Rhinolophus ferrumequinum: one gene and its partners. The protein of the gene in region 1 interacts with the protein of each later gene in a pairwise test. Links are inferred from orthologs where the notes say so. Each region holds a gene or a part of one and is shown in the gene's direction. Other genes may lie near its edges.

Evidence for each region.
Region 2: the proteins of TXLNB (region 1) and CEP57L1 interact in binary tests that used the Homo sapiens proteins (3 or more experiments, as listed by UniProt). The two-hybrid records come from large-scale screens. The link is inferred for Rhinolophus ferrumequinum from reciprocal best matches to the Homo sapiens genes TXLNB and CEP57L1.
Region 3: the proteins of TXLNB (region 1) and DEUP1 interact in binary tests that used the Homo sapiens proteins (3 or more experiments, as listed by UniProt). The two-hybrid records come from large-scale screens. The link is inferred for Rhinolophus ferrumequinum from reciprocal best matches to the Homo sapiens genes TXLNB and DEUP1.
Region 4: the proteins of TXLNB (region 1) and MBIP interact in binary tests that used the Homo sapiens proteins (3 or more experiments, as listed by UniProt). The two-hybrid records come from large-scale screens. The link is inferred for Rhinolophus ferrumequinum from reciprocal best matches to the Homo sapiens genes TXLNB and MBIP.

Annotation. Positions count from the first base shown.
Region 1 is NC_046286.1:84,909,684-84,918,076, reverse strand, and holds the start of TXLNB (beta-taxilin), read left to right. Parts: upstream 1-5,299; 5' UTR 5,300-5,429; intron 5,430-7,711; 5' UTR 7,712-7,725; coding exon 7,726-8,164; intron 8,165-8,393. UniProt on the Homo sapiens protein: Promotes motor nerve regeneration. May be involved in intracellular vesicle traffic.
Region 2 is NC_046286.1:61,798,255-61,806,417, forward strand, and holds the start of CEP57L1 (centrosomal protein CEP57L1), read left to right. Parts: upstream 1-4,764; 5' UTR 4,765-4,991; coding exon 4,992-5,111; intron 5,112-7,666; exon of another isoform or gene 7,667-7,707; coding exon of another isoform or gene 7,708-7,791; intron 7,792-8,163. Other genes in the region: SESN1 (sestrin-1), read right to left, coding at 3,388-3,666. UniProt on the Homo sapiens protein: Centrosomal protein which may be required for microtubule attachment to centrosomes.
Region 3 is NC_046294.1:64,567,171-64,575,338, forward strand, and holds the start of DEUP1 (deuterosome assembly protein 1), read left to right. Parts: upstream 1-4,935; 5' UTR 4,936-4,978; intron 4,979-6,174; 5' UTR 6,175-6,200; coding exon 6,201-6,247; intron 6,248-8,168. UniProt on the Homo sapiens protein: Key structural component of the deuterosome, a structure that promotes de novo centriole amplification in multiciliated cells.
Region 4 is NC_046289.1:84,244,546-84,251,997, reverse strand, and holds the start of MBIP (MAP3K12-binding inhibitory protein 1), read left to right. Parts: upstream 1-4,068; 5' UTR 4,069-4,137; coding exon 4,138-4,266; intron 4,267-7,452. UniProt on the Homo sapiens protein: Inhibits the MAP3K12 activity to induce the activation of the JNK/SAPK pathway. Component of the ATAC complex, a complex with histone acetyltransferase activity on histones H3 and H4.

The DNA of each region.
Region 1 (8,393 bases):
TTCTCAAGATTGAACTTAGTTCTAGACAGCAACAACTTCAAAAGGCTGTTAAAAAAAAAAATTAATTCCCATTTCACAGGCCTCACTTAAATGCATCATTATTGGAATTAGTTAACATAGACTACATGTCCATCATCTAGACCACATTGACTGTTAGTCTCATAACAACCATGGGAAACAGGGAGTCCCCATTTTACAGAGAAGGAAATTGAAGCTGAAGAAATTTAACATATAGCCTAAGTAAAAGACAGACCTGGAATTCATATGGAAGCTGCCTGATTTTCAGGCATATAATCTTAATTATTATATCATTTCTTCATTTCTGTTTCCCTTAAGCCCGTAATAGAAAAGTATAGAATTCATAGACTCTTATATTTGAAAGAGATCTTAAACGCGTCATTTAATCTAATTTTCTCCCCCCTCTGACTCCCCATGTAGAAATTTCTTCTTCAGTCTCCCTAAAAGAAAGAACAACCAGGCTCTATTGGATATTTCTGAAACTGGAGCTTCTTACTTCGGGGGGATAGTTCATTTCATTACTGGACCACTATAATGGTTAAACAGATCTTCTTGACTTCAAGATAGCATTTTAAAGATCTTTCAGACCTGTTTCTCTTCTAAAATTCACTAGCAAACAAGAAGAACAGAAACAAAAATAGAAACTCTAACATCAGTGAAACCAGAAGAATTGAATCCATAAACCCCAAACCACAACGAATGAGGATTAGAACGCAAGACATAATGGTAAATGATGCAACAGAAAAAAACGTGCTTGAGGGCAGCAATTGAGAAGCTAACCAATTTGCCTAGTAGCTTCTGAAAACACTAAAGAGCTTGAGGTTAATACTTGGTAAGTAGAGATAATATCAAAAGTAGTAGTAAGGCAGGGGACTCCAGCAGGATCATTTGATGGCTGGTTTTTTTTTTTCATTTTTTTATTAGAAGAATGAACAGTCAGACCCTAAAATCCCTAATTCCGCTCACAAAGTCAAGTAACCTGTGTCCATTTTTTCAGGCTACCTGAATTACCTGAAGACTGTTCTCTGGAGAAGCTTAACTAGAAAGGCTCTAGACTCAGGATATGAAGTCCAGAGCAGGACAAGGGTGATAAACAATGATAAAGGGAGAAGGAGGTTAAAGACATGAGTCTCCAGATTAAGAACCCATTAAACATCCAACACAATAAATGAAAAAAGAACCACATCTAATTTTATCATTGTGAAACTTTAGAGTTCAGGGAAGATTCTAAACCGTTCCAGAGAGAAAAGAAGAAATAGGTCATACAAAGAATCAGGAATAAGAATGATTTTGTACTTTTAAGAAAAAAAATTGAAAACTGAAAGACAAGGGAATAATGCCTTAACATTTTTGATAGAAATGTTAATATGTTAATATAAATTTTTTTTTTACATTTTGTAAAAATTTATATTCAGCCAAACTATCAATCAAGTAAATATAAGGACAGCAAAAAGGCATTTGAGACATACAAAGTCTCCTATAAACACTCTCTCAGGAAATCAAAGGATAGTGTGTTTCATAAAAAGAAGAAGTAAACCAAGAAAGAGGAAGAATAGGAATCAGGAAACAGGAGAGAGGTAAGGGGAATTCCCAGAATGGCAGCAGAGTAAGTGCTAGGACAACAGCTGTGCAGCAGGCTGAGAAAGTCACCAAACCAGACCGGAGCAGGAAGTCAAGGCTCTGAGGGTGTTTATATGTGGGGGTGATATATTCAAAAATATACTAGAATGTGTAAATTGTCTAACAGATTTGATCTTGGGAAAAATTACATAGAGAGGCACTTTACAAAGCTCTTATTACTAAGCAAATGAAAAGATAATCATTGACTCCAGGAAAACCAGAAAGTTTCAAAAGAATAGAACTATAGTCGTAGTGTTCTACCTGATTTAACAGTGAATTTTATTTCAATAATGAAAACATAGAATATGAATTTAAAAATGAGATGTAATTTCATTGAGAAATGAGGAGAGAAAAAGAGGTGTCCGTAATTTAAATCTTCAACTGTCATTTTGGGAAGACAATAGGTAATGCCAAAATCGACCAGTTGACAGATAGCAAGATGGGTGTTATATTTACAGATGAAAAAGTAAATCACAGAAGAAATACCTGAAGTAGTTTAATATTATTACCTCTGGGGAACATGACAAGTTTGGAGGAAGAGGTAGTGGGCAGGACAGAGATTATTGTTTCTTGTGATAAGCTTTTTAGCATCATTTGACTTTCAAATTATTTTCTGGTAATATTTGCATAAAAATTAAAATGTTATTTTCAAAAAAGAAATTTATTCCTTTCAGTAACTCAAAGGTTGATTTTATAATAAGAACTGAGCTCTATTAATCTGTGTTATTTACTTACTCCAGCTTTTTGGGCCTCTCGCAGGTCGTGATGGATTCTTGGGAGCCACAAGTTTGTGTGTTTGTATTCATTCCATTTGTAATTAATAACGTATAAGCCTATTGGGGATCATCTGGGTAGCTGTCATTTTGGTGTCATTAAGAGGTCTGACAATTAAGTTCGCAAACTCATCCTAGAAAAAGTACTACATACCCCATTGCTGAATATCACTATGGTACCTTTGAAGTACTCCCCTTGGGAAGCTATGCACCTAGACCAGCGCCTAGTCCACCCTTCAAAGCAATTTTGGAACTCTTTTTCTGGAATTGCCAGCAGAGCTGTCATCGTATTACCTTTGATGTCCTGAATGTCATGAAGATGTCTTTCTTTCCATATTTCCTTTATCTTCAGGTAAAGAAGTCATTGGGTGCCAGATCAGGTGAGTAGGGAGACTGTTCCAATACAGTGATTTGTTTACTGGCTAAAAACTCCTTCAGAAACAGTGCCATGTGAGCTGGTGCATTGTCGTGGTACAATAGGCATGAATTGTTGACGAAAAGTTCAGGTCGTCTAACTTTTTCATGCAGTCTTTTCAGCACTTCCAAATAGTAAACTTGGTTAACTATCCAGTTGGTACAAGTTCATAATGAATAATCCCTCTGTTATCAAAAAAGTTTAGCAACAGAGTTGCAACAAGTTCACGAACTTAATTGTCCGACCATGTAGGTATATCTGTCATTTTGGTACCTTCACTATCATGTGTATACCTAATCAAGTTAGCTCCAAGTAGCACATTTTAATAATTGCAGGAAAATGAAAAAGAGCAATAAATGATGCATTTGTATCAAAGGAAGTTGAACTGAAATTATGGCAGGTCACATGACTGAAACTTATGTAATAATTTGAATGGATCAAGTGTTGAAGAAATTGAGTCATTTCACAAAGCACATTGTAGACGAGTACCATGAACTCAAAAGAACCAGCAACAGGCAATACCATATTCATGTTGTAAATTGCAGTTTGGGTTCAACAAAATATTATCTGTCACATAAAAGCAATGTTGTTAATTTGAATTATATTTGTTGCTTTTGTAGGTTTTTTTTAAATAAGATTTTTTAAAGTTTGTATTATATAACAATAAACATCAGAAGTCTATACCTATTTTTATTAGTATATATCAATACAAATAGTAATATTCTTTAGTTCAACCATGGAGAGCTTTTTATCTTTAAAATAAAATTTAAGATTAAGTTATCCTGTTAAGAGTCTGTACATTACTTAAATTTGAGAATCACTAATTTATTGTTTACATTTACCGAGAGAGCTGACTGATTCAGTTCGCTACAATCCAGTATGGAATACCACCCACCTGTGGCCGACACCAAGCACTCATTACCTTAGATAGAAGTACTTTTTCTCTCACCCATTTTACATCACCAACTTTATTATCAAATGAGACAGGACACAGCTTTGTCTTCGTCACTGGAATTCCTTTATCTTGACCTCTCCATGTTGGGTGTACTCATCTATATATAACTTATGCCTCCCCTGAACACAGAGAAAGTGGTAGGGAAAAGTTGGGGGGTAGAATATTTTAGTTTTCCCTCCCTATGCTAACAATTTACCATAAATTTAGTGGCTTAAAAACAATGTAAATTTATTACAGTGCTGGAAGTCAGAAATCAAAAATGAGTTCAGAGCTAAGCCCAGGTATCAACAGAATTATATTGCTTCTGGGGGGTCTAGAGAATAATTTGTTTCCTGCTTTTCCCAGCTTCTAAACACTTCTCTCACCCCGTGGTTTGTGGCCTCGCATTACTCTGACCTCTGCTGAGTCATCAAATCTCATTTTATCACTCTGACTGCCCCTCCCCCCACCCTCTTTCATTTATAAGGACCTTTGAGATTACATTGGGCCCATCCAGATAATTCTGGATCATCTCCCCATCTCAAAAATCCCTAACTTAATCACATCTGCAAAGTCCCCATTCACTGGATAAAGTAAGTAATACATGCACAGGTTCCTGGGGTTGGGATTTGGACTTCTTGGGGTGGCATTATGCTGCCTATCACAGGGGGTGTCACAATGCCCAGCCATTCTCCAGAGCAGAAACTCTGATGGAGGAAACTACTTTGGAAAAGTGTGGGAACACATTCTCCAGAAACAGACAGAAAAGGGGAACGAATGTAGGTGAAGAGAAGCATTTTATGGTGAATGAGGAGGAGGTTCTTTTTCTGAGGGATTAAGGAGCACGTTGAGGGTTTGGAAAGGATAGTGAAGACCTCGAAATGCGGCTGCAGAAGGTAGGAAAGCCACCAACTAAGAAAGAAAAGGTGAAGTGCCCAGGGGCTTATCTGAAATGCGGAGGTGGTTACCCAAGTCAGACCAGGAATCTGAGGTCACGCCAACTACCATGTGCCTGAAGATGATACTAGCCCACTGCCAAGACAGCCGTCTAAATTTCTAATTCAAAATTTATAAATAAACCAAACAATGACATCAGAATTAAAGTAGTTCTCCCACCTCCTTTTTGTTAGGCCATTGTTTTCCTTTTTCCATGATTCCTATAAGAAACCTGACACTAATTAGGTTAGCGTAAGAAGGGGAAAAAAGGACATGAATCATAGGCCACACTGGAAATTAACCAAGAAATAAGAAAAACCAATTCTCTGCCCAAAAGAACAACAATGGTGAAAAACTGTGCTAGCAAAAGGTCTACATACTGAGAGTTTCATTTTTTTTTTTTTTAAAGGAATCAAGATGGAGTCTGATCAGATCTACCAGCTGCTTCCCTTTTCTAAGACATTGACCCAGGAGACAGCTACTGAAGCTTGGGTGTTATTTCTCTCTGCTGTGTCATATGATGTTCCTTTCCCCTCCCCCACCTGCTCTCTTGCTGTGTGTGCGTGTGTGAGTGTGTGTGTGTGTGTGTGTATGTGTGTGTGTGTATTTGGTTTCTCTGTCCCCTTGTAAGAACACAGCCGCCTGCCTGTCTACTGCTGTTGCTGCTGTTCTGACTAACTTTTTGCTGCCCCTTGCCTCTCCTTTCTCTTTCTGCTTAGCTCCTTGCCTTCTGGTAAGTATGACAAACACTCCCCCAAGCCCTGTGAGAAGATGTGGGGTGCGGTTTGTGGTGTTCGAAATTTGCAACTTTAAGATTGCCAGCGAACTGTTGAAGAACTTTCCATTGTTTTATTTATAATTAAAATGTGTTGCTCAGGAAGGGATGTGTGTGTGATAATCTACTGGGACTGCCAGTACAAGTGATAAACTTTCTTTCAGAGGAGGGAAAAGGCAGCAATAAAATTTATGGAAGATAAAATTTAGAAATAATTTTTGCTGTATAATTAATCTAGAAAGAGATAATTTAAAAGTAACAGAGTTCTTTGACTTTGGGTTTTTTTTTCCTCTTGCTGATTTATCTTGAGGCTACTTTTAGGAATTGAGTTTTCCTGTGGTTCACAATGACTCAGTTATTCTGTTTTAAAGTAAACATGGAATATGAGTTTAAAGGCTGTCCGTGGGATTAATATAAAAACATCAATGATTATGGCCTCTGAGGAATGAAGAATAAAGCTATTACAAATAAAATGCTTGCATTTAAACTAACCATGCCAAAACTCCTATGGACAGTCAGTTTTTAAATTCATTGCTTTGAAGTTTGGTTTACTTTAGATTTTATTTCATCCTAAAAAGACTTTTTAACACTTTAAAACCCACATATGAATTTATGCCAGCAAATGTTTACTGTTTTCGATTTGTATTAAAAAGTACTCCATTCCCTTGATTTTCAAGGATAAAGTGCTAAATGCCATGGCTCCTTTTAGAAGAGCTTAAAATAGCTTCTGGCTGGAAGCAGGTGCCATGTGTCTTTCTCCAAGTTCAGGGGAGGCACTAGTTATATATATAGATGACTGTGCCCAAGAAGTAGGTAAGGGTCAGGATAAAGAAATTCCAGTGATGAAGACATGAAGCTGTTTACTGTATCATTTGATAATAAAGTTGGTGGATTACAATGAGTGAGGGGAAAAAAAAATACTCCCTTCTAAATTAATGTGTACTTGGTGAGGACCACAAGTGGGTGGCAGTGTTTGTACGTTGAATTTTCCATTCTTGTTGGCGGCCAAGCATTTGATATCTACTGCCCTGAGAACAGAAGGAGGAAGCTGTGCAGTGCACAGAGCAGCATGTTTGTGTTTTCGCTTTCCATACCTCCACAGCAGCAAAACCTGTGCATTATGAGGATCCTGTCATATTTTTGTCCTGCTAATCAGCACCATCACCACTAAATATCATTTACAAAGGAAATGAACCATAACGTAAAGGCCTAAGCCAAATCTCTTGCAACCCCAGGAATGAGGATAGCCAGAAATCCTGGAATCCTTGACTCAGCTCATTGCTCACTCCATATTTCCAAAGAACCCATATCACACCTGGATAATTTCCTTACTTCATTTCCTCCCTTTGCCTTAAACATGGCCATTTCTTTAAAATTATCAACTTATCCTAGAACTTCTTGACTGAGAAGAAAATGTTGTAATCTGTTTTTTTTTTTCCTAAAAGAATGCCAGTTTTTATACTGGAAAAAAGAAAATGTATTACAGAAATTCAAAGAATTATTATTATAAGCATCACCATGTTTCCATGCCAGTTTGTTTGTTAATTTATAACTTCCCTCATTCTCTGCCTTATTCCAAAAATGATGCTAGTGTACCTAAAAAAAAAAAGTGTTTTCATCATTAATAATTACATGTTGCTCATCTGGGAAAAGGAAAATACCAGAAAAAGCAAGAAAGCATTTCCTGTATCCAGCATAATAATTCATTTATATCAATGTACTCATATTAATCAAATCTTCATTTATAGATTAAAATAGAGTTTAGGGACATTATTATGAAGGATTTTAGTAAGTTAGTAGCTCTTGTATTAAATATTTTAACTTTGTAAAAATAACACCATTTAAAATTTAAATATTTTAAGTGTATACATCCATGTACTTTCAGTGATTATAAATCTACATAGGATTATAGAAGAAAATGGTAACACAAATTGGCTATTCTAAGCAAAATGACAGATAGGGCCATAAAAAACAATATCTTGAATTACTCTGCTAATGTCAACAATAGGAGATACTACTGGAATTTAAAGACCAAAAACAAACTATGCTAAATAGTATGACTTGATTTGGAAAAATGGCGTCCCACTGTTCCTACCTACCTAATTGCAAGATCAATCGTTTGTAAAAGTACATTCATTCTATGTAAGAAACTGTAATTAGTAGGCGCCCATTTGGAGGTATCCTTACCATTTATACGTAACTAGGTTAACTGCATAAAACCTGACTGTGCTTACCACTAGGTACTGCTCCCAGGATGGAGACTAATCACTCTGCACAGCTCTCAGGAGAACCACAGTCAACACCTCTGGGGGACAGTTCATCATTACCCAGTCAAAATGGCCTGGAGAAGCCACATGATCAGAATTCCTCAACCTCTCTCCAAGCACCCCTGAAAGGGGCAGATGTGCAGCCTGAAACAGGAGCTCATGACATCTCTGAAGAGTTGAATCGACAACTGGAAGACATCATTAACACGTATGGGTCTGCTGCTGGCACAGCAGGGAAAGAGAGTCCCAGTAAGGCCAAGGAGCACCCTGAGAACACAGAACCAGCCGACAACGAGGATGGGGATTGTGAGGAGGTCACTGAAGAAACTGAGAGAGAACCGGTAGCTTCCGAAGAGCGACCCACAGCCAAAGAGACTGTCAGCAATAAAGAGCAAAAATTGGAAAAGAAAATCCTAAAAGGATTAGGCAAGTAATTATGTTTTAATATCTGACTTTTCTTTGAATTAATCCTAAAAAGGGCATTTTCTCCAACCTTTAGTAAAACCCACATCTCATCTTTGGATGACTACCAGCTTCCTTCAGGGCTCCCTACACCTTCTCTTGCCGACCGTGTTCCCAGCCCTTTCCCCTCAATAGGGCTAAAGTGAACTTTCAACATGTTACCCACCAACCTCTGTCCTCAATGGCTTCCCCT
Region 2 (8,163 bases), about 23 Mb from region 1:
CAGCAAAAAGCATTATGGAGCGCTACGATCTAAATTATTTGGTTTCCCTTGTGAGTCTCATGCCAGAGTGAGAGCAGTAAGGATGGGAGTGGTGGGCAGTGAGGACAGAGCAGTAGGGAGAAGCCAGATTGATGCTGGAATTCTTTAGATTCCACTCTGTTTTAAAGGATTTTAGGCAGATTTCGGCAGATTTTCACTGTAGATAAATGGCTCTGCAGTTACGTGGGGAATGGATATAAATAAAGGTGGAACATAGGTTAAGGCTGGAGGAGGGAGAACAATGGCAGAACTAGAACAGTGGTAGTAGGGGCAGAAATCCCTCAGGAGCTATTACTAACATGAGGTAACATAGGCAACAGGAATCTCAACATGTCTTAAATAGAACTCATCATTCCCCCTAAACTGACCCTCTACCACTCTTCTGTTTCAGGAAATGACGATAATTTCCTTCATCTCCTAGATCCAATTAAAGACTATATCCTATGGTTTCCAACTCCTAGCTCTCTCCCAAACCCATTCACTTTTTTCCACTATGTCCTACTCCGCCATCATTTTTGCTTTGGATAAGTGGACAACTGCCCAGCTGATGTTGCACATCCACTCTTGACCCCTGAAATCCATTCTCTTTGTTTCCAAAGGGAGCTTTCTGATACACCACGGACCATGTCACCATCTTGCTCAAAACCCCTCACAGGCTTCCCATTGTTCCTAGGATGAAGTCCACAACTCTTAACGTGGCTTACAAGATCCTCTGTTATGTGGCTGCCTAAAAACAGAATTCTAAACTGAGCGTTTCTTATGTGCTAGGGACTGTGCTATGTTTTGCAAGCATTGTTTCATTTTATTCTCATTGTGAGGCAGGAACTATTAGCATTGTCCTCATTTTGCAGATGAGAAAACCGAGTCAAGGAGAGATTATGTAATTTTTCTAAGGTTGTAGAGCTAATAAAGTATTGGAGCCAGGTCTGACTCCAGAGCTCGTGCTTAAGCTTTCACACTCCCCTCATCCTGTGCTCCAACCACACTGCATTACTTTCAGTCCTGAGAACTCATCCGCTCTTTTTGGCCAGGAGGCCTCCACACATGTTGTTCCCTGTGCCTGGAATGTCTTCCTCAAAAATCTCATTTTTGCCAGGATAGTATTTATTCACTCATCAAATCTCTGTTTAAATGTCATCTCTTCAGGGAAGTCTTCCCTACCTATCTAAAATTACATTATTTGTTTACTTCCTTCTGATCTGTCTCCCTTCAGTAGAATGTCAAAATTGTTCGGCACTGGTTCCCAGTTCTTAGAATGGCATTCACCTGGGGTTCGATAAACATTTGTTGAATGAAGGCATGACTGAATAATGTGGGGATGGAAACTCCCTAATTTAGTAACTTCATCTATTCAGACTGATAAGAAACAAAAAGAAGCCAAATATAAATTTGTTCATCCACTTGATATTTATTTAGTAGCTCCCAGGTCCCAGCCAATACTTTTGAGAACTTACAGCCCTCCCGGGGGAAGAGACACATAGGCATGATTATAGCACAATATAAGTAAAGTGCCTGTTAAAATTGTGGCAGGAATAAAGTGCAATAGATGCAGAGATGAAAAAAGGTATAAATCTACGGCAAACCTTTACAGTAGAGGAGATTCTTGGATCGTTTTGCAGAATGAATGAGTCTTGAAATATCTATCACATAGTCCATGTATTTCACTTATGAAAGGGGAGAGAAGCATCCACTATATACTGGGGCACTTTACATCGCATTTAATTCTCACAACAGCTCTGTTATTAATTCCCATTTTACAGATGTGGAAATCCAAACTAAAACAAGTCAAGGAACTTGTCCAAGGTTATGCAGTATATTAATAAAGGAGTATAGGTTGACCCAGTACCCATTTACTTACGGTTGTATCACAGTCCTTTGACCCTGTACTCCCCAGAGCCTAATTACTTGTTTTCATTATAACTCTTAACAAAATTGGTTATCTGGTTTCCCATTCTAACAGAAATAAGCAGCAAATGTAAAGGTTCAAAAAGAGACCAAAGTGAAGTATACTAACAGCAAAAAAAGGAACAGGAAAACCATAAAAACTGAACACAAAATTAAAAAAACATGGATCATATAGTCTTCTACATTCCACCCTTAGCTATGCAACAGTACTTGATGTGCATAATGATGACCCCATTATGAAAAAAGGTAATTGTAGTCACTACAGTCTATATGATAAATAATGTTGATGCTTGAGACGGTAAACTTCAGGTATCTAGAAAATTAATCCCTCTCTGGTAACCCTGGATAAATGAATTGTAATGATTATTTCCAAAGTGTCTGTAAGAAAAAATGTCCCAAGATCTTAAAAAGTCTCCATTTTATGGACATGGTTATTTTTCTATTGCTTTAAACTAAATTTTAGCCAGAATAGAAAAACTGTCCATCTTAACTTCCATATGTATACACAAGAAAATCATAAATTTGAAAAACTCACACTATGACTTTGAACACATGTAGATTGAGTAATTTAGACTGAGAAGCACAGTGTTACTGAGCATTGTTAATATCTAAAAACAACCCCTTAAAAGAGAACCATTTTAATAAATCTAATAAAACAGGATAAATTATGTACAAAACAAGAGGAAAACTATAATGTTTAACCTGTTGTACTCACAATTTAAATAGGTGTGTAGAGAAAAAAAAATTAAGCAAACACAGAGAAAGCTGGTTGAGTAATTTACCATAAAAGTGTTTCTGTCATATAGTCTACTTGGGTCCAACTTTTAAATCTGAAGATTTCAGCTCTTTTATAACATAAGCTTTTGTTACTTTATGTAATTCTTCTTCATTTTTTTTTTTTTTAAAGAATGGTTGCAGTTAAGACAACAGACCCTGGATTTTTTTGTTTTGTTTTTAAGAACAAGGGAAAATTGTTTCACCAATTATCTTGAACAAGCTGACAAGGGAACACTTAATATCCTTTATCATTTTGGAGGCTTTTAAATGTGAAACTTTCCACACAGAACACTGGTTGTAACAATGTAAAAAGCATACTGGCTACACTTCCCAACAACATGTAAAAATGAATATAGGGAAAAGTCAGTCTTTACTTGCAACTAACTATAACTCACACATTTTTTCCAGGAGCAATGCAGTTTCTGTTACAACTTTCTAGAAAGACAATACTTGTTTACTTATATTTGAAAATTGCTTTTATTTTAGTTCATGTTGCACAACTTTGGCCCCAAATTCAATGTTTTACAGAACACTCTAAAATTAAGATGTAGCCTGAACTCATAATAAGAGTTCATGTAACAACCTATTAGAAATAAAGTGAATTTAAGTGCAAGTAAAATTTTACTGTATTAGACAGACAGTTGTAATTATAATGCTCTTCCTTACCTGGACGCTCTTCAAAATAAACTCACTTTTCTCTCTTACATCTTTAAAGGGACACCTCTTAGAAAGCATAAGCAGATGAGCAAGCAGCTTATTCAACCCATCCAAAGAAACAGCATTTGAAAGCCCGTCTGATGGACAATAAGGTGTCTCTTTCACCGAACGAAGATACTCAGTTTTTCTCAAAATGATTTGCCTAATGTTTTCCAGTGCTGTCTCTCTAGCAGTTGAATCTCTACTGCACAGTCCATCCCATCTCATTTCATTCTCTCCTTCAGCCATGACAAACGGAGATTTTTTTCTTTGCAGTCTTCAGTTACCTTTCAGCATGTCCCCAAAGACATTTAAGGTGTTTTTAAACAAGAAATGTAAGAAAATCAGGGACATCGAATCGTCATGAAAACACACGTCTGGGTGACATTTGGAACCAGAAGTGTCTTTTAATATTGATGGCTTTCAAACGATCTGCAAGATAGACCTCACCCTCTCCTACACGCAGCGACAGTCTTCTGGTCGGAGACTAAAAAAAAGTTGGAAAGTTGAAACCTTACAGTGCTGGCTTTGCTGGACAGGGAAGTGTTCTCCGTCTCGCGGGGTCAGCGGATATCCTCACGTTGTGGAGCTGTCAAATCCGTGCTCTGCCCCAAAAGGCTGGTAACGTTGAACGCCCTCCAGCCATTCGGGTTTATTTGTGCAGCCACCGCGTTCTCCGGAGCGTTCCCACCCCGCCCCTCCTCGGGCACCAGTCCCCGCCCTCCGCAGTTGCTCCCTGCGCCTCAGCGGCGGGCTGGACGCAGGCTGGGAAGGCTCGCGGAACCGCGGCTCACTGGCCGCCGCGGCCGGAGACCCAAGCGCGCCGGGGAGGCAGCAGCCTCCAGCAGCCGCTGTCTCGGCGGCGTAGTCAGAGGACAGTGCCGAGGTCTGGTTGGCTCCGGACCCCCTGGCAGGCGCCGTTTCTCTCCCGATCGCTGCGTCCTCGCCCGCCGCCCACTGAACCAGACTGGCACCGGGCTGCCCCGCAATCCCCTAGCGCGGGTTGGGCCGCAGAGCTGGTGGAGCCGCAGGGCCCAGGCGCAGAACCCGCCTCTTCGCCCAGCCCCATCTGTGGGGCTCGGCCCAGAGGGCGGGAGCAGGGAGGGGAGATGGGGTCCTCACCCCCCAGCCCCTCCCCTTTCTCCGCCCGGCACAAACCAAGAGCCGCCCCTGCCCTAGCGCCCTGTTCCCCGCCCAGGCAGACGCGACCCGCAGAGGCAAAGCCATTGGAAAAAGCCCCGCCCTCCTCCAGCTACCTCCAGACCCCAAGTCCGTGCGCGACCGCTAACGGCGGCCGGATGCCACGCATGCGCGATGGCGAGCAAGGCGCATGCGCCTTAAGGCCTTGACGTTTGGATTCTCTGGACTGGCGAAGGGAAAGAAAAGTAAGGAGTTGAAGTACCTTGAAACTTTCACAGACAAGGCAAGCACGGCAAAGACGGACGCGCTCCTGGAAGAAACTGAATCTAATCTTAAGATTGGCCTAAAATTAGTGACTATCTCTTTATTACTCCAAATCCTTTATTCAAGGAGGTAGGGCGTCCTCCTATTGAGTGCTGGGAAATGTAGTTTTGATGCTGCTGGCGCGTTCCGTTTGCGATAGAAACTACAGCCCCCACAAACCACTGCGACGTTGCCTTTGGCGGCGGGCGAGTCGACCGTTAGCGCGCTGGGAGACTGAGAGCGTCAGCTTGGTGAGAACTGTAGGCTTGGATGCCACTTTTCCCTTGACAGGGTTTTTCCTTCCTACATTCCTCTGAGATTTTGGAGACAAAGCCGTCGAGGGTTGTCCTCCTTAGTCCAGGGACTTTTTCTAGTAATCTGTGTGGGAAGGACTAGTTCGGGTGCCCAAGCCCGAGGGGCGCGTGGAGGCGAGAAAGTGGGAAAGGTGGCGAATCTAAGAGTCCGAGGGAGCCGCAGACGGCCAGACAAAGAGGGATGCTGTAGGAAGGAGTGCTCCGCGCTGCTGCCTCTGCTTCCGCCCTTTCAGGTGGACTCGTGCGCGATGGATTCATGAATCCCTGTGCAATTGCACCTTTCTTTTGCCGTTGCTTAAGGGTTTTCTGGGCTTTATTTGCTCAGCCAACATGACATCCAAGCAGGGCTTTGCTTTGAAAGTGAGTTGTGAAATCCATTTTATATGAGACTAAAGGGAAAAGACTATCAAGAATATCTGGTATTCCTTGGTATGAATTTTTGCAGGCTTTAAGGATACTATATGAAAAAAGACCTGTAAAAATATTCAAAATTTTAAAAATTCAACCATGTGTTTACAAATTGCTGGTTTTTAAAAAATATCATTCCTCTTAGGAAAAGTCGTGAGCTGATAACCAAATTAAATTTTAATTGTTCACATTGCCGAATAAACGTGTTTCAAAATATGTAGCCTTGTTAGGTCCAGAGTATACAACAGTGAAAAAGATACAGCTCCTATGTATGAAGTTAGAGAAACGAATGGTTAAACATACGGTTACAGTACTGTGTGATATCCTTGGAATGGCTAGAGAGAGGCTCATTTAGCCCAGCCTTGGAAAGTCATGAAAACCATCCCAGTGAAAGAGAGGGCCAAAAGAACAGCATATGGTAAGGCCCAGAAGTGAGAGAGATATGGTACTTTCAGGAAACTACAAAAAGTCAATGGTACTTTCAGGAAACTACAATAAGTCAAATCATATATTTTGAGAGGGATAACTTTTTTTGTATTGATGTACTTTGAAGCTGCAAAGAGACAGGTACTGTAGATTCCAGATACGTAGTTTCTGGAAGTGACCTATCCTTGAACAGATTTATAGTTTCAAAGAATTGGTCTCATTTGGAAAGCCTGGCTACATTCTGATGCTACTAGTTTAATTCAGAATTTTAAAAAATAAGAACTTCTTATGAGTATGATTTCACAAAACAAGCAAAAAAAGTCATTCTTTTTGTGTGTGTGTGTCTTCTTTTTGGGCTCATCCTCCTTTGTCCAACCCCCAAAGGGTAGGGTTTCTTACGTCTAGGTCCCCTTTTTACTGCATAGTTGAAACTGTTCTCATCCATACCCATGCTTTCACCACCACCTATGATTCTTAAATGCATAGCTCCATCCAGCTTCACTTTCAGCTTTCATAGATCCATCTGCTTGTAGTATTTTGACGGCTTACGTTAAAGCCTGAGAACAGGTGGAATCACAAAACAGGCACTCCACTGAGTTTGGGTTGATTTGGAGTTATATACAAAGATGAATATGCAGGAGAGGCCGGTGAATGGACAGGAAGACCCACTTGTCCTAAAGCCAAATGAAAGTGATTAAGGAGGAAGAGTGCTAAATTACGTTAAATGCTGCCCTAGGTCAAGTGAAATGAGGATTGATGATTGACCACTACGTTTAGCAATGTAGATATCACTGAAGATCTTGAGAGCAGTTTTGGTGGAATAAAGGGTAAAAGCCAGATGGGCATTTTATTTAAGAGAAAAATAGAACTGGAGACTGTGGCTGCAGCCCCTCTGGTACTGTTTTCTTTGTTCAGACTTTTCTAGCCTGTCTTTGACTCCTCTTCCTGTAGATCTTAGCTCAAATATCACGTTCTCAAAGTTACCTGAGCTGAATAAATGCCCCTATTATAAATTTACTATCATTATATCATATATCTTTACTTGCTAATAAGTTATAAATTTGTTTCTGCAATTGTCTGTGTGCTAATTTGATTAAAGCATGCCTGCTACTGAAGCATAAGTACACAAGAGCAGTGACTGTGCTGAGTTTTGCTCTTGCTCATCATTTCCAGCTCTGAGTACAGTGGTTGGCATCAAGTATGAACTTAATAAATATTTGATGAATGAATGGAAGAAAAATGTAATGACAGAATTTTCAAAGGTATTAACATATTTACCTGTTGTTTACAAAACACAAGATAATGGATGGAAGAAGGTACTTTATCATGAAAACATTTTAGAAAATTAATCTTAAAAGAGCAAAGCTTTTAGTGCTAGTGAATTGTAGTGCTAACCTTCATGAAATAGGATTTGCTAATATTTTTACCATGTTCCTGCCACCTCATCCTGCTATAAGATAACAGAGTATTTAATAATACTCAAAAAGAGTTTGAAGACTTTGTCTAGAAATAAATGATAAAAATTTATTCAAGGGTCTTAGGTTTTGCAAGCAAGAAACATAACTAGGGAAAAACCCAGAAAGTGTTCCGGAGGAGAAGGTAAAGTTAAGAGTTCTTATAGTACAAAGTGCATTCTTTAATCAGTCCTGCACTCCTAGCCCTAGGGTTGGTCCAGGATGGTTCTCAGCCTGGATGATGGATGCCAGGTGTTCTGGAGGACGGGTGCCTGGAGGTCTGGTCACATCTAGTGTTCTGGATAACGGATGTCAAGTGGTCTGGATACGTGAGTCCTCCATGGGCTGTTCTGAATGTTATCTGGAGGTCTGATACATGTTCAGGCATTGTCGCAGGACTGGAAAGTTCAAAAGTTTAAGTTTCCAGGCTAGTTAAATCAGAGTAGAATCATTTCTCATACCTCAGCCTACTTGATTTTAGTAATTTAGCAGCTTGACTATAGGGACTCCATTTTATTGCTTCACAGTTCATATATATATATATATATATGTGTGTGTGTGTGTGTGTATATATATATATGTGTATATATATGTGTATATACATATGTGTGTGTGTATGTATATATATATACATACATACATATGTATATAGTAGAATACATGTAGAGAAGTAAAAGAATATATGTAGAGGAGTTGCCTCT
Region 3 (8,168 bases), on another chromosome or scaffold:
AGTTGTAGTTTTGATTTGGTTTTGAGATGATGCAAGCACAGCGTTTATCTACTCCACCATCGTGACTGGAGATACCAGCTGTTGGTTTCCAATTGCATTCTAAATAAAAGGAACCACAGCTTCTTAGAGAAACAGCGGGTTCTAGGACTTAAGCAGGAATAATATATATACAAGCTGAGCCTGGAGTATCTCATAATGTAAGAAAGTAATGAAGTGCTCAAAGGAAAAAAAAAAAAACTAAACTAAAACCCACAATTATGGGGTTATGGCAAAGAGACATAGGAGTTAACTGAAAAAGCTCCCAATGGCCTAAGCTACAACAATTTGAGAAACAAACTAAAGTAGCTTTGGGTTATAATTAAAAGTATACAATAAATATCCATGAGTCCATACTGATATAAATTAATAGGAGAGATGAGACAAATCTTCCATGCAGAAGAATTCTAAATAATTATATACATAGTCCAACCTTAAGAAGGTGATGGAGCATAACTCCCCACTTCTTAAGTGAAGACTGTACATAATATCTCCATCTAAAGAGTGCAGCATAGAAAGGGAAAGGTGAGAAACTTTACAGTGGAGAGACCTGACAAACACTATCTCGACCAGGTGACTAAGATCAACATCAACAGTCATAAATCATGTTGATATTATGTACATTTAATACAATGTGATAAAAACGGCACTTTATTTCTGTGATCTCTCCCCTCAAACCCATATTCACAATCTAATCATGAGAAAAACACCAGACAAATTCCAATTGAGGGGCATTCTACAAAATACCAGACCAGCACCTCTCAGAAGTATCAAGACCATCAAAAACAAGAAAATACTTAGAAAGGTCATAGCCAAGACATGGTTAAGAAGACATAACTAAATGCAATGTGGTATACTGTACGGGATCTTGCAACAGGAAAAAGTAAGAAAATCTGAATAAAGAATGGACTTTGATTACTAATAATATATCAGCATTGGTTTATTAATTTTGGCAAATGGATTGTACAAATGTAAGATGTTAGTAATAAACACTACTAGATGTGGGAACTCTCTGTGTTATCTTCACATTTTCTCTATAACTCTAAAAACAATTTTAAAATAAAAAGCTTATTTAAGAAAAAGTCACAAAAATAGAACAGCAAAAAACATGCCCATCTTGACTTTGGCACTGGATAAAGGAAAGTTCTTTGTCTGGAACTGTGCATCATAAACCGAACCTAACAGTTATTATCTCGTTCATTCATATTACCTATGCTGTCTGAAAAAAATATCCTGCGAAGAATTTAATGTAAAGTGTTTTGGGATTTGTTATGTCCTGAAGCAACTCTCAAAAGCAAAGGTAAATCTTCTCTGGAAGATTCCAAACCTCGATCTTAGCCTCAAACATGTCAGAAATAAAGTTACACCAAAAATTTATCTCCTAGCCAAAAAAATCATAACACACACAAGACAACACGATATGAGTAAAAACTAATGGCAATAAATCGCAAACATTTCAGAACCTGGAATTATAAGACGCAAAATAGAAAATGACTATGATTAATATGTTTAAAAAAATAAAAGAGAAGCTTGGACATTTTGACAGAGAAATGGAAATTATAAAAAGTGACAAAGATGATTTGCAAAATGGCCACATTAATTTTTTTAATTTCAAATTTGATAAATACTTCTTGAGTACCCACTATTTGCCAGGCATGTACTAGATATTTTCACATATATCATCTATTTTTTATTTTCATAACAACAAATAACTCCATTAATAAGTACTAAAGTTGTAAAACCTTCATGTTAAAATATTTGCATTATTTTATCTTTCCCTACACTCTGGAAACTGTCTTTTGATCTGTTTTCCAGTTCACAAATTCTTTCTGCATCTGTATCAAGTCTACACTTACACATATGTTGTGTTCTTAATTTGGGTTATTAGCAATTTTTTTAGCTTTAGAATTTCTATTTAGTTCCTTTTCAAATATAGTGGGTCATTTTTTTATATTAGTGCTCCCTGCAGACTTTTTAAATCTTGTCCTTTACTTCTTTAAGCATACGAGTTCAGACAATTAAGTTTGTGAACTCATCCTAGAAAAAGTGCTACATACCTCATTGCTGAATATCACTATGGTCACCTTCCAAGTACTGCCCTTGGGAAGCTATGTACCTACACCAGCGCCTAGTCTACCCTTCAAAGCAATTTTGGGACTGTTTTTCTGGAATGGCCATCAGAGCTGTCATACCATTACCCTTGATGTCCTGAATGCCATCAAAATGTCTTGCTTTCAATATTTCCTTTATCTTTGGGTAAAGAAAGAAGTCACTGGGGGCCAGATCAGGTGAGTAGGGAGAGTGTTCCAATACAGTTATTTGCTTACTGGCTAAAAACTCCCTCACAGACAGTGCTGTGTGAGTTGGTGCATTGTCGTGTTGCAAGAGCCATGAATTATTGGCAAAAAGTTCAGATCATCTAACTTTCATGCAGCCTTTTCAGCACTTCCAAATGGTAAATTTGGTTAACTGTTTGTCCAGTTGGTACAAATTCATAATGAATAATCCCTCTAATATCAAAAAAGGTTAGCAACATTGTTGCAACAAGTTCAGAAACTTAATTGTCAGACCTTTACTATCCATACTTTTCATCATTTCTGTCTGATTCCAAAATCTGAAGCTTCTGTGGTTCTGTTTTTGGTGATCTGATGTTTCTACTGGTTTTCCTCATTCCTCGGCCATATGTGCCTTATATACTTTCTTTTGACCGTTTCTTATTATATCTTATTCTGACTGCTGTGACCTCCAATTCTCTTTAAGGACTGTGCTCTCGCCAATACCCTGGTCACATTCTTCCCCTCCTTTAAACTCAGGGATTTTTTTTGCTCTCTCCATTAATTTCACATGAAAAGATCTAATAACAGGTACGTTTCAGAGTAAATTTTTCTTTGCAGTTACTTCTTACTGGGGGTTGGAGTGGGGGTTGGGGTGGATATAGGCAGGCCTTTGCATTTTAAGCCTTAAGTCACATCCTGAAATGAAAGCCTTCATTCCTATTAAATTAAACGGGGGCGGGGTTCTATTCTATACTTAAATTTTCTTAAAATACATCACAGTTTGTGTTCTTTCACATGCTTATGTTTTGCAAGTCCTGCCCACACCCATTCTTTCTTTTGAAAATGTGGCTTTAAATACATCTGCAGTTACCTATGCAACATTCTGACTGCTCAAGAAATCTACTCAACCTTAAATTGGAGATAGTTTGAAGAGCACTGGACTTTGAGTAGGATGGTCTAGGTTCTTAGCTACTCTTAGTCTAGATGTATCATCTAGGACAAATTCTTTATTCTCCCTAAAGCTTAGGTTCCTAATTTGCTGAAAGGAGCTATAATAACACCTGTTATACTTGTGTCACATGGTACTTCTGAGCAACTAAGGAAATAATGAACGTGAATGAACCAATGGTAAAGAGCTACGCAGTGTGAGTGATATTGGGCATCCTGAAACTTCAGGAAATTTTCATTCCTAGTTCCATTTTCTCTTCCTCATGTCAGAATAAATACATTGACCCATTCAGTTTAGACAAGAATAAAGAATAAGACTAAGGTTTTCAGAATAATGAAAAGTTTCAAGTTACGATAAAATTATTACTCTCTTCATTCAATCATGATATGAGAGCTATGAAACACTTATTAGAACTAATAACCTGAGTTGCTGTTACACAATTCATCTATGAAACTCAATTTGTCACAAAACAGCAAATGGTTTTTTTGAACCTGAATGGAAGGATTGGAGTCAGTTTTAAATTGATAGCCATATTAAAGTAGCAAATTAATCTTAATGTTATGAAAGTAGAAAGCAAATAAAAGATTTTAAGAATTAGAAATCAATCGACTGTATGTATTGGGAAGGAATTCTGTTACCAAAATAGGTGCAAGAATATTTTCCAAGCACAAAATTCAAGTACTTAAATATATCACTCAAGGTATCAGTAGAAAAAAATGTATACGCACAAATACATGTATATATCCTTTCCTATCATTGCTTTCAAATGAGGACTGTGTGACAGAACTTTTGTCATCAATTATTCTTGGAATTTGGTGAAAAAAGAAAAGAATTTGGAATCAGTCACTCTGTGTTCTGTCCCACTTAGGAACTATTTCCTTCTCCCTAAAAGGGAGGCAAGTCTGCCCCGCCTAACTCACGGAGCTTTTCTAAGGCTCCAATCAATGCACTGTAGGGAAAAGACAGGTACAGCTCTGCTGTTATCGTGACCAGACTAGCTGTCCACTGAGCGATGCTGTTAAAAGAAATCCAGCTACTCCCGACTGGAAGACATCTCGGTGAATTGAAAAGGGAGCTCTCTCTTTACCCCAAGTCTATTTCTTTTTCATATCATTTCAAATGTGGGTGAGAGGGCGAAGGGCCAAGGGGATTGATTTAAAGAACTTGGATGTAGATTCCACCCCCACTCCCCGCTTCTTACACTTTGTTCCTTCATTATTTCCTTCCTTCATTCATTCAACAAATATTTCTTGGACCCCCGTTGGATGCTGGACACCGGGCTAGGTAGGGAGAGCCACAGAAAGGAAAGGACCCGGAATGTGGTCTCAGGGTACCCTTCGTCTAGGGAACAACCAGGCGTAAAACTGAGGGACCGAGAGGTCGCGCTCGAGTGGGTGGTTTCCGTGGCCGTGGAGCCCCCGCAAGGCCTCGCCTGCCGACGCCTCCCGCGGGTTAGCCTATCCCCCACCGCCAGGCCCCCGGGCTGCGAGTTTGGACCGCGTCCCCATGGCAACCAGTGGCAAAGCGGCGGCCTGGCTGCTGGCCCGGAAAGTGAAGCCCTAACGGCTTCGGTGGCCACGCGGCGAGCGGGCCCGGACGGCGGGAACGTGGCGGGGACGGCGGGGCCCCTCGGGGCGGGCGGGGAGGGCGGTGACCCGGGAGTTTCTGCTCCTGGGACCTCAGACCTCTCGGGAGAGCGCGGCGCAGTGTGATGCAGGTAACCCATCCGGGCGTCCCCGGCTTCACCCCCAGATCTTCGTCCTGGCCCCCGGGCGGGGCTCGCTCGGGAGGAGCTGGGGACCACAGCAGGTCGGCCGCTCCACGGAGGCTGGCCTTGAACCCTGCGTGGGTCTGGACAAGGAGGTCGGGGTCGGGGTCGCGGTCGGGCGACAGGTGGGGAGAGCCTGGGATACCAGGATGGTCCTTGCAGAATTCAGAGCAGAGATTCTACCTAAATTACAAGGTCTAGGTTCTAGTTGTGTGGCCTTGGGCAAGTCACCTAGCTAGTCCGTGCCTCAGTTTCTCTGACGTTAAAGTGAGGGAATTCAGAACCTGCAAAACGAATGTATGCTTCTGTCCGTCGTTCCCCATCCCTGCTCCGCGCCCATCGTCTACATACACAATTCCAGGGTCTCTCTGAAATCCTTTGATTTGAGAGTGATGTGAACCTCTCCTTTTTACCATTTTGAATGCTATTTCATTGACTTTTATTCAGTAAATCAGAGGAATTGAAGTCCTATTCAATTCTTTGTCCGTTTATCCTCATAGATGATTTTTCAGTTAAAATTTTGTTATTGGGAAAAGCTTTTTCTTTTTCTTTTCTTTTTTTTTTTTTTTAATTTAGGCAAGCACTAACACCCCTATTTTGTCAAACAGGTAAACAGGTGCCCACAGAACCATTGAGGAATTGTGAATTTTCTATTTTTAGAGAATTCTTAGGGGTTTTTTTGTCTTAAATATTCATGATATTCATTCTAACAAAACCCAGAAAGGGCCAAAGAAAGAATTTACTCAAAGGCAAACTTTTAGAGGATCCACAAGAAAGGAAAGTTTGCAAGCGTTTCGATGGAACAACTCTTGAATAGAAATTCTGTTTTACTCACCTCATGTACTGAGCACTTTTGCAAAGTACCTGGCACCAAGCCATTGCTCAATATACAGTGAATGAATGCTCATTTGAGTCAGTGCCACATATTTCAACTCATCATTAAGCCAATTCATAGCATGGGGACACGGACACACACACATACACATACACACACAGACATGTGCAAGTTTCTACATTTTATAGAACCAAGAGTTACTCCATTCAGAAAAACATAGAAAATGGTTTGCCAGTAGCAAAATTTTCTTTTTTTATAGGTTAATAAATGTAAGCATTTTAGGAATCTAGACCATTTTTCTCCCTAACAGATTAAAAATCAAGAAATTTAAACCAGATGCAGCAGTTTCTTGACATGGAGAACCAAGCCCATAATACAGTGGGGTAAGTGCTGAGAAATTTCTATTTAATAAGTTGTAACTTAACTATGCCAGAAATTCCCTGACGGTACAGGAATTTTGAAATTCAGTATTAATAGAAGAATATGCCAGTTATTTTTGGTGAGGAGGGTGGGGTAAATTCAAGAGACTTTAATTAAGAATCTATAGTTTGGGTCTTTCAAATTTTGACTATGGAGCTGCACACAAAAATCACCATTTTCCAACTCTTAGTGAGTTTTTTAAAATGTTTTTAGGGTGATGGGTGCCCACACTGGCCCCATGTGCCCTTAGGTTTCCACAGTGAAGCAGCTACTGGCCTGCTTGCTCCTATCTTGTTGCACCAGGTGTCTGAGCATCCGCCCACATTTGCCCTGAAAACTGAACTCAATGCTTAAACATAGCCTCAAAACAGATCTAGCTCCTCAAAACAGCAACAAGAACTGGATATTTTACCAAAACTTTCATGAAGACATAAGGAATAGAATTTGTATAGCATTTGCCATTGTTCAGAATTAAATTCCTTCTCACAAATAATCTGTCCCCACCCCTTCCCTGCCAGCAACACCACAAAGGTTTCTGTTCCTATTGTTTTATTAGCCAACTGGCCCCTGGTTGACGCCAGAGCTGGGCAGGGGAGGTGGGGCAGTGGGTAGGCATGGCACTATAGTGCCTAATCCTGACCGACTGACTTTGCACTAGTCAAACCACTGCAGATGTCTCACTTTCAGTTTTTCTGCTCAGATCATGACTTTAACATCAGGCTAAAAGAAAGCTGCCCAAGTCTCAATAATAATAGCTCTCACTGTTTTAAGTCCTCCTGCACACTCCTCCTGCCCTGTTAGGTATTGTTATTTCACAACTAAGAAAATTGAGCACATTAGTTATAGTCTAAGTTCTTGTAACAAAGAGACCCCAAAATACAGTGGTTTAAATAAGACTGAAGTTCATTTCTGTTTCCTGTACAAGCCCAGAGAGAAGCAGACCAGGACTTGTAGGGTAGCTCTGCCATCCTCACTGCATGATTTCCACCTCTGGGCCCGAAGTGATTGCTTCAGCTCCCACCATCATGACTGTGCTCCTGCCAGAGGGAAAGGGGAAGGGCAAGCGGAGAGCTTAAGACCATTCCTTTTAGGAGTAGGACTTTGAAGTCATACTCCTAAATGAGGCAGGCCTCATTTCTGTTCACTCCCTATTGGCCAGAACTTAGTCCCAGAGCTACAGCTAGTTGCATGGAAGGTGGGGAAATGTGGTTTCTAACTGGACAGCCACATGGCCAACTAAAGCTTAGCAGTTGTATAATAAAAGGAAGAATAACGGATATTGGTGGACAGCTAGCAGCCTCTGCCACATTGAGCTCAGAAATGTAGAAAAAAGAGAAATAAAGCAGGATCTTGCCCCAGCGTATACAATTGGTTAGTGGAGGAGGTAAGATTTGAATTCAGATATGTGTGGTGCCAATCCCTGCATTCTTTGCTACATTGGAAATGGATGACAGTGCGATTCAGGGAGCAGTGTACCTAGTATCCACAGGAGAGCCAGGGTAGGATTCTGGATTGAGCAGGTGTGAGGTCCGTGGTGTGACAATAGCACAGAGGGCTAAGATGCAGATTGAAGGTCTCCAACCTAAGGATGGGTAGCAGATATCACTTCACTCCTGCAAATCTGAGGCCTTGGAGACTGATATTTCTCTTCATTCATTCTTTGGGGGGGGGGAAAGTATGGAATACTGAATGTACGCCAGGCATAACACTAAGCCCTATGGTTCATACAAAGATCATTAAGAAACAGACCTTAAAGAATTTAGAATTTAGTAGGCAACCATAGAGTTTGTTTGGGTGCAACATAGTTACAAACCAGAAGTGAATGAGAATTACTGGAGATTTACATGAGGAACTACTCCACTCCTCACAGCGGACATGGGACCA
Region 4 (7,452 bases), on another chromosome or scaffold:
ACTTATCCTAATTAACAATTTGTACTAAAATTTTCTCTGTTAAAATAACAGGTATGGTTTCTGTCTCCTGAATAAACCTTGACGGATTTGGAAATTGGTACAGAGTCCCAGTAAACATCCTCAAAGATGGAATTTTGAGATTGGTTTAGCTGTGTCCTTGGACTTGACTGTAGTGCTGAGCGCCTTGCTAATAGAAAGTGGAACGTTGTGCATGACATGGCAATACCATTAGTCAATATTACTCCAACTTACTTAATCATGGAAATTTTTGTTGAAAGAAGCATCTTATAGGACTAGTATTCAGCACAACAAACTTTGGAAATGCTGGCTTAACCATAGTTCTCTATTGAATGTATCCTCCCTAAACACATCAATCACATTGCCGCTCATGTTTTATTTAAGCTGAGAATCTGTACTCATCATCTGAGCCTCAAGCCATATTTTACATCAAATGTTTAGAGCTTTTTCCTAATACTGAACACAAATACCTCCTCAAAGGAACTAATTAGTTCTATTACTTTATACATGTCTCTAATATGTCACATTATATCATAGTTGTTTGTTTACATACATGTCTAGCCCACTAGAATTGGAGCTCTTAGAGATAGAGACCTTGTCTGCTTCATCTTTGTACCTCCAATGCTGATCAGTGTCTGGCATATAGTAAGTATAATTAATTTGCATGCATATCATTCATGAGAATGGTTATGGAGGCTGGCTATATTCATTCATGAAGAAAAATTTGCGCACTTTGAATTTGTTATTCCAGAAGAATATAAATAGACATGCTTCATTATTTGAAATGAATTTGTTTATAGCATTCTTACTATGTGTTACAACTACCCCCTCAAGAGTAGAAACTTCTTTCTTTCTTTCTTTCTTTCTTTTTCTTTCTTTCTTCCTTCCTTTCTTTCTTTCTTTTTTTTTTTTCCATTTTACAAATCTGTTCATCTTAGATAGGCAAATAAGTTCAGCTCAACAAGCACATACTGAGCAATTACTCTGCCAGGAACTCTGAGAAGCCTTAAGTACACAAATATGATACACATAAATGCTCACAGTTCAATGGGGAGACAGATTCCCAGTCAAATAATTTCAGTATCAGTGTGATAAGTACAATAATGGAAGTATATATGAGTTGTAGGAGTCATTTAGTAAAGAAGATATGATCATGATGAGAAGGAATATGAGGCAAGACTTCCCAGGGATTTTTGAGCTGGAGTTTGAAGGAGGAACAGGAGTTCCCAAGCAGACAAAAGGCAGGGGCATAAATAACAACATAGAGGCAAAAAATAGTAAAGCTTTGAAGAAATAAAAACAATTCCAGGAGCATTAAGCACCAGATGGTTTGTGGAAAAAAATAAGGCTGGGAATTTAGGTAAAGGCCAGTCATGAGAAGAGCCTTAGTTGCCATAGTAAGGAACTTGGACTTATCCAATGGGCAATAGGGAGCCAGAAAAGGCAAATTTTCTGCATTAGGAAAAATTTGTATTACCATACATTAAACAAACATCTTTTGAGCACATATAATATCTCAGACATCTTTCTGGGCACTGGATTATTTAATAGAGTTGTGCCTTTAAACCTCTTCATAAAGGACATTTTTATTGATAAGGTACATAGCCTAGATTTCAATGACCGTTTCTATCCTCCCAATTGATTCTTAGCATAAACTTGCAAGACAGTATTTTTAATTCTGTTGCTAATGCCAAGACCAACACTTTGAATCATTTCTGCCAAGCAGCAGATTTTTGAGCAGCCCATTTTATAAACTGTAATTAGCCTTCTATAAAGGGCAAATTATTTCTTTTATTCTCTTTCTAAACTCCATAGCTTTCATCATATATTATTGTACATTATTATCTACATATTTCTATGTAAAGTTAGTCCAAGGAAATCCACATCTTTCCATCTTACAAACTCTTGTTTAAAATAAACAGAAGAAATTTAAAAATGTTTTCCAAAATGAAGGGAATGGGCATCAGGAAGGAGTAAGGAAGGTCCTTGGAAAGAAGAAATATGCACAAAAGAATTAAAATCCAAGTATTACCTATACTAAGTATTATTAATACTAAGATATAAGTGGATCTGGATAGCATAGCAAAACAATTATTTTGTGCATCTGTTAGCAAGATATGTCCTAAGGTATCAGAAAACCTAAGAGAGCTAGTAAGGGTGTTTTGCTTAGTATAAAACTGGATGTAATTAAGCATGTGTAGTATGATTTGGTTGGTTATTTTTTTGCCTCAAAAAAAATTCCAAATAAATTAATGGTAATTGCGTCTTCGCTTTTTTTTTTTTCATACTACTTCGGCTTATGAAAGGTGTCGCATTCTACTTTTGGATATCGGGGTAAACCTGTGTAGAAATCAAATGGCCATCAATTAATTCTATATTAATTAGAGGAAGTAAAACTTGAAATTTCAAACTCAGTGATGGCAAAGAAAGGAATGAGCAGTACCTTATTTATTAAAGATAGTATTCTTGTAATTTACAAAACATGTTCTCAAATGGATTTCAAACCAGTGTGCTGAATATTGGGGGGGGGGAACCACACAAAACTTTACACCTAGATGAAAACAAATGATCTGAAACTGATTGCTAATTTGTTATAAAACAAAAACTTCTTGTTAACCCATGTCAATTATTCTCCCCTAACTAAAGAGAAGCAAAGGCAAAGAAAATATACTAACTGTGCAAGGAATCATGACTTTAGGTTCGATTTGGGGATGGGTGGCTTGAATGATATAAGGTTGCTCAATTTGGGATTAGATAGTATTGTGAAATCTTTTTCTGGATGTCTCTAGACATAGGCTGGATTATAAACTGTCTATCTCCCTACAAACAAGGGAACAGACAAGATTTCTCAAGATCCTGTCAAGCCCAGGGATCTTTAGAAATGAAAGCCTAATTAAGAGGCTCCCTAGAGACAGGTCAAGGGAGTTCTTTTATCCCTACTGCCCTTATCCCAGTTCCTCTATGCCTTATTCCTCCCCTTTCATTCACCATACTCTAAAACTGAAGACTACACATTGTGCAAGTTTCCACCTTTGCTTCCTCTACTGTAAATTCATTAGACTATTAGAATTAAGAAATGTAAATGCCTCGTCCCTTATCTCTAAACTGTTCATGTTTAACTGTTTTTGAATACAGCTGAACACTAGAATTTCTTTTAAAACTTGTTTTTTTTTTTTTCAATTGGACAACTAAAGTAAAAAAATATGTTAGACTCTGATTATGGGATACAAAGTCCTTCAAATATCTTTTAATAAAGCTACCCAATAAAAAATACTTTGTCAAATTTCAATTCGGATTTGTCTTCCTTCTAATATCAAAGATTGTATTGCATGCAATTATTTGGGTTGAAATCCTGTTGGAATTATCTTGCCAGTGTTTCACTTCTTTGAAAGTTTTAGGGTGAACATCTCTACCGTAACAGCCAGAGAATAGCAACTGATGCACGTTTTAAAACTTTACATAATCATTGCGCAGATTTAAACTATCATTCCCTTGATAGTGAATGAGGCATAATAGAGCATTGTTTTTACATCCTCCTCTCACTCGCATGAAAAAGTAGTGACGTTAATTTGTGTAAGTTTTAAAAAATCTTGTAGTGATGAAAACGTTCTCTCAAAATACGCCAATTCTGTGTGAAAGTTTTTCAATGTTTAGAAATACGTGTGGGGCACCACTGCATCCCTGACCAGCGATCTTTCCCCCGACCACTCCACAGTGCCATGTTAAAATTTCAATTTATAATTTGGGACTAAAATTCTTCCATTTAACTGTAAGTTTCCTCTTACCAACACTCATAAGCAACATGTAAGAGTCAAGAAAGACTTCACGATGCACTCAACGGACCACGATTCCAATCACCATCCCCAAAGAGTGTGTCCATCCTTGCCTTGGCAGGTGGGCAATTAATTACCCGCTCCCAGTCCGCGGCATAAAGCTATAGCTGCATCTGATTGGTGCATGTACTTGTCAGTCACATAGAAAGGGTGGGACCTCAAAGTTCCGCTCTAAACTCGACGCAGTATTTTTACATCATCGCGGAGCGACCAAAGCAGAAGAGGGAGGGGGTGGGGTTTTGAGCTCAGCTCGGTGGCGGTGGTGGGGGCGGCCTGCGAAGGTGTCATGGCTGCTGCCACTGAGCTTAGTCGCCCGAGCATCGGTGATAGGAGCCTGGAACAGAGCTGCAGCCCCAACCTCTCCCAAGAGGTGCTTTGTGAAATCTTTCGCTCCCTGCATACCCTGGCTGGACAAGTGAGTGATGGCCTGTGGGAGTGGGGGTATGGGAACCATCCGGCCCTTCCCCCCTTCTTTTCTCTAGCGGAGGCGGGGGCAGTGGAGGCCTAGCTGAGACCCCGGCCCCAGTAGCTGAGGCCCGAGTAGCTGAGGCCGGGGGAGGAGCCCGCGCTCAGCCGCCTGCGTTCGGAGTGAGGATGGCCGCACGGATTTAGTTCAGGACCGGTTGCAGACTAGATTTCCTTGCAAATCTTCTCCCCAGGAGTAAGTGAGGATAGTGTAAGTCAAAATCTGGCTCCTAGAGGAGGAGGCTTGGAGAGAATGAATGCGGAAAAGCTTCTTTGAGGGTTTGGGAGACGCCTGGCGCCTAGGATCCCGTTTCCTCCAGTTCAGTCATTATCGAAATTCATAGGTTAGTACGGCCTGAGATTTCTGGAAAAGCTCTCTCCGCCTCTTTTGGGTAATTTGCTCTTATGAGTCACTTGATTTTGTTTATTTCTTTTTTCCTTTTGGCCGTTGTGTGCATCTTCTACCCTTCAAACGGGGAGGAAAATAAAATTAATCTAAAATACTTCTAGCAAAAAGTTTGATGAGTTATTCATGGTGGATACTGTTGACCTCAGAACTCTTGTTTAACTATTAACTAGTTTAACTGGCTGATAAGTCGCTTTTGCAGAAATGTGATAAAATTGAGTTTAAGTACTGCGTACACTATTCCAATCAAGTTACTGTTTCCTTTCATGATGTAAAATGCAAAAGAAATTTTAAATGAGAAACAACTTGAAAATAAATTTGCTTTTAAAAAGGAAATATTTTCTCCTATCTCAAACGAAATATTTTCTAGCTATAAATAGTTTGTTATGGGGCTGGTACTAGTGCATATAGAAGGTACAGCAGGCATTTGTGTCTAAGATAATGTTTACTTCCTTTATGAAAATAGAGTGTTTGTCTGATTTGTGAAAATTATTTTTAAAAGCCTTGGGTGGATGGGGAATCAATTTTTTAAAAATCCTGTTATTTTTATCATGACTTAACAAAGAGCATTACTCAAACTTTAGTGTAATGAGATGATTACCAATAGAATCAGCTAAAAGTTGTAACTCAGTTGTTTGCCATGGACCTAAAAAAAAATTATTTTTAAAGACTTGAGGACATTAATATTTCAGTCTTAAGACCCGAAACTATAAATGGTTTAAAAGTTAGAGAATGTTTTGTGGCATGGACATTGGAACTTACAGTCTAATGTCGAGATGAAAAAGTTTATGCTCACCTCTAATTTACAGGGGTTTTTGTTTTTTTTTAGTGATGAGATTTTTTTTTTAAATAATGTTAAGAAATAATTTAAACATTGCTTTTGAAATATTTTGCATACTAAATTTTTAAAAGTCATTTAAATTTTTTAAACATTCGAATTTTCTATATGTAGAAGTAAGGATGTGATTAAAATTTACTTATGTCAACTGTCAAAAGTGTTCAGAGTAAATATTTGGCAAGTTTACTTGACACAGTGAAGGGACCATCTATAAGGTATAAAAAAGAGTGTCTCATCAATTAAATGCTAACCATTTTGATAATATTCTTTATATCTTGATATGTATTGTTTAAAGATAAGAATGGAAACCAGAGGATGTCAGTTTCCTTTTGCAACAAGTTTTTAAAAATGTATGTTCTAATAGACCTAAGTTTATTCTGTATAGTAAGTATCATTGTAACAGACATAAAATTGAATGTTAAAAAGTATTTTCTATCCCGATTTCAAATGTACTGATGCTAACCTTTTTGCTTGCCTCTGGATGGATGGCCCATTTTACCAAGCTAAAGAATTATTTATTTTTAGCTTGGATTTTCATATTAATTTAATAAAGTTTTTACTGAAAGTGCATATTTAAATGGTACATGTTATTGGCAGACAAATACATTTTTGAGTGAGTGATTTACAATTACAAGTTCTATAGGGTAGAAATGCATAGAATTCGTATTACTAGTAGGGAATTTGTTGAATGAATAGTTGGATGTATTGGGATAGTTTTAAAGTTAATTTGTGACATTATTGTATGGTTTTCTTAAAAGACCAAGTATCTTTACTCGCACTTGAAAGCTTACATGATTCTCCTGAGTTGAATTGAGATTATGATCCAAACACAGATTTATTTTCCGTAAAGTACTGTTTTCTCCAGAAAATTTGATGCTTTGCTTTGCTTTGCTTTTGGATTTGCCTGTTTTATTCCCAAACCATATTCATAAATTTGTGTAATCCACTATAGATCTCTTTGAGGATTGTAAAAGTACAATAATAGTTTACTTCCATACATAACATAAATTGTCTTTCAAAGGCTTTATAGTCATTAAATAACATAAATTAAGATTAATGTGGCAATCTTAATGTAAAACCATAGTTACTATAAACTAATCTTTGCCAGTGCAGCCTACACAAAACTCCGTTTTTCTTTCACTCGTCTAATATGGACTTTAAATGTTTCTGGTCTCATGTTCAAAGAGTGGTAAATTTCTGTCATATAGTATTTATTCAGTTTAGTGCCATTTTTTTGGTAACTTGGGATCTTTTTGGTTCTTTGTACAGTTATTCATCTTTTTCTTTTAATATAATCACAACTCATAAGATCTGTATTTGAACTAATGTAACACTTTGTACAAAACATGACTAATTTTTAATAAATGATTTCTAAAAAAATAATATGTTTGTTAACTTGATCATACTATGCAGTATTTATCCTTATAGTATGTCATAAACACATGTCCCTAGAAAAGTTTATGGTGGTTCACTTTTATTCACTCGAAAGACTAGAGATAGAGGGATTCCTTCTAAAATTTTCATTGATTTTGACATTTTATATTCAGGTTCTTGATAGTTTATATGATTTTATTAAAATAGGTCACATATAGCTAACTTCTGAGAAATTTTCATATAATGAGCCCTCACACTTTACTAGAAAATACTATTTAGCAAAAGATCTGGCTATTTCATTCAGTCTCTGGCCTTTTATTTCACTATTGTGGAAAAATACTTGTTTGTTTTCCAATTTCAGATTTCCACAGCTAAATAATAGTTTAATAAACATGTTGCCACTTACCCCTAGACTTTATCATATATATGGTAATATTGATTTTTAAATTATTTTTAATTGACTAAAGTTGAAAACAATAAAATGTGATTCAGAACACATCAAAGTAATGATCTATTTC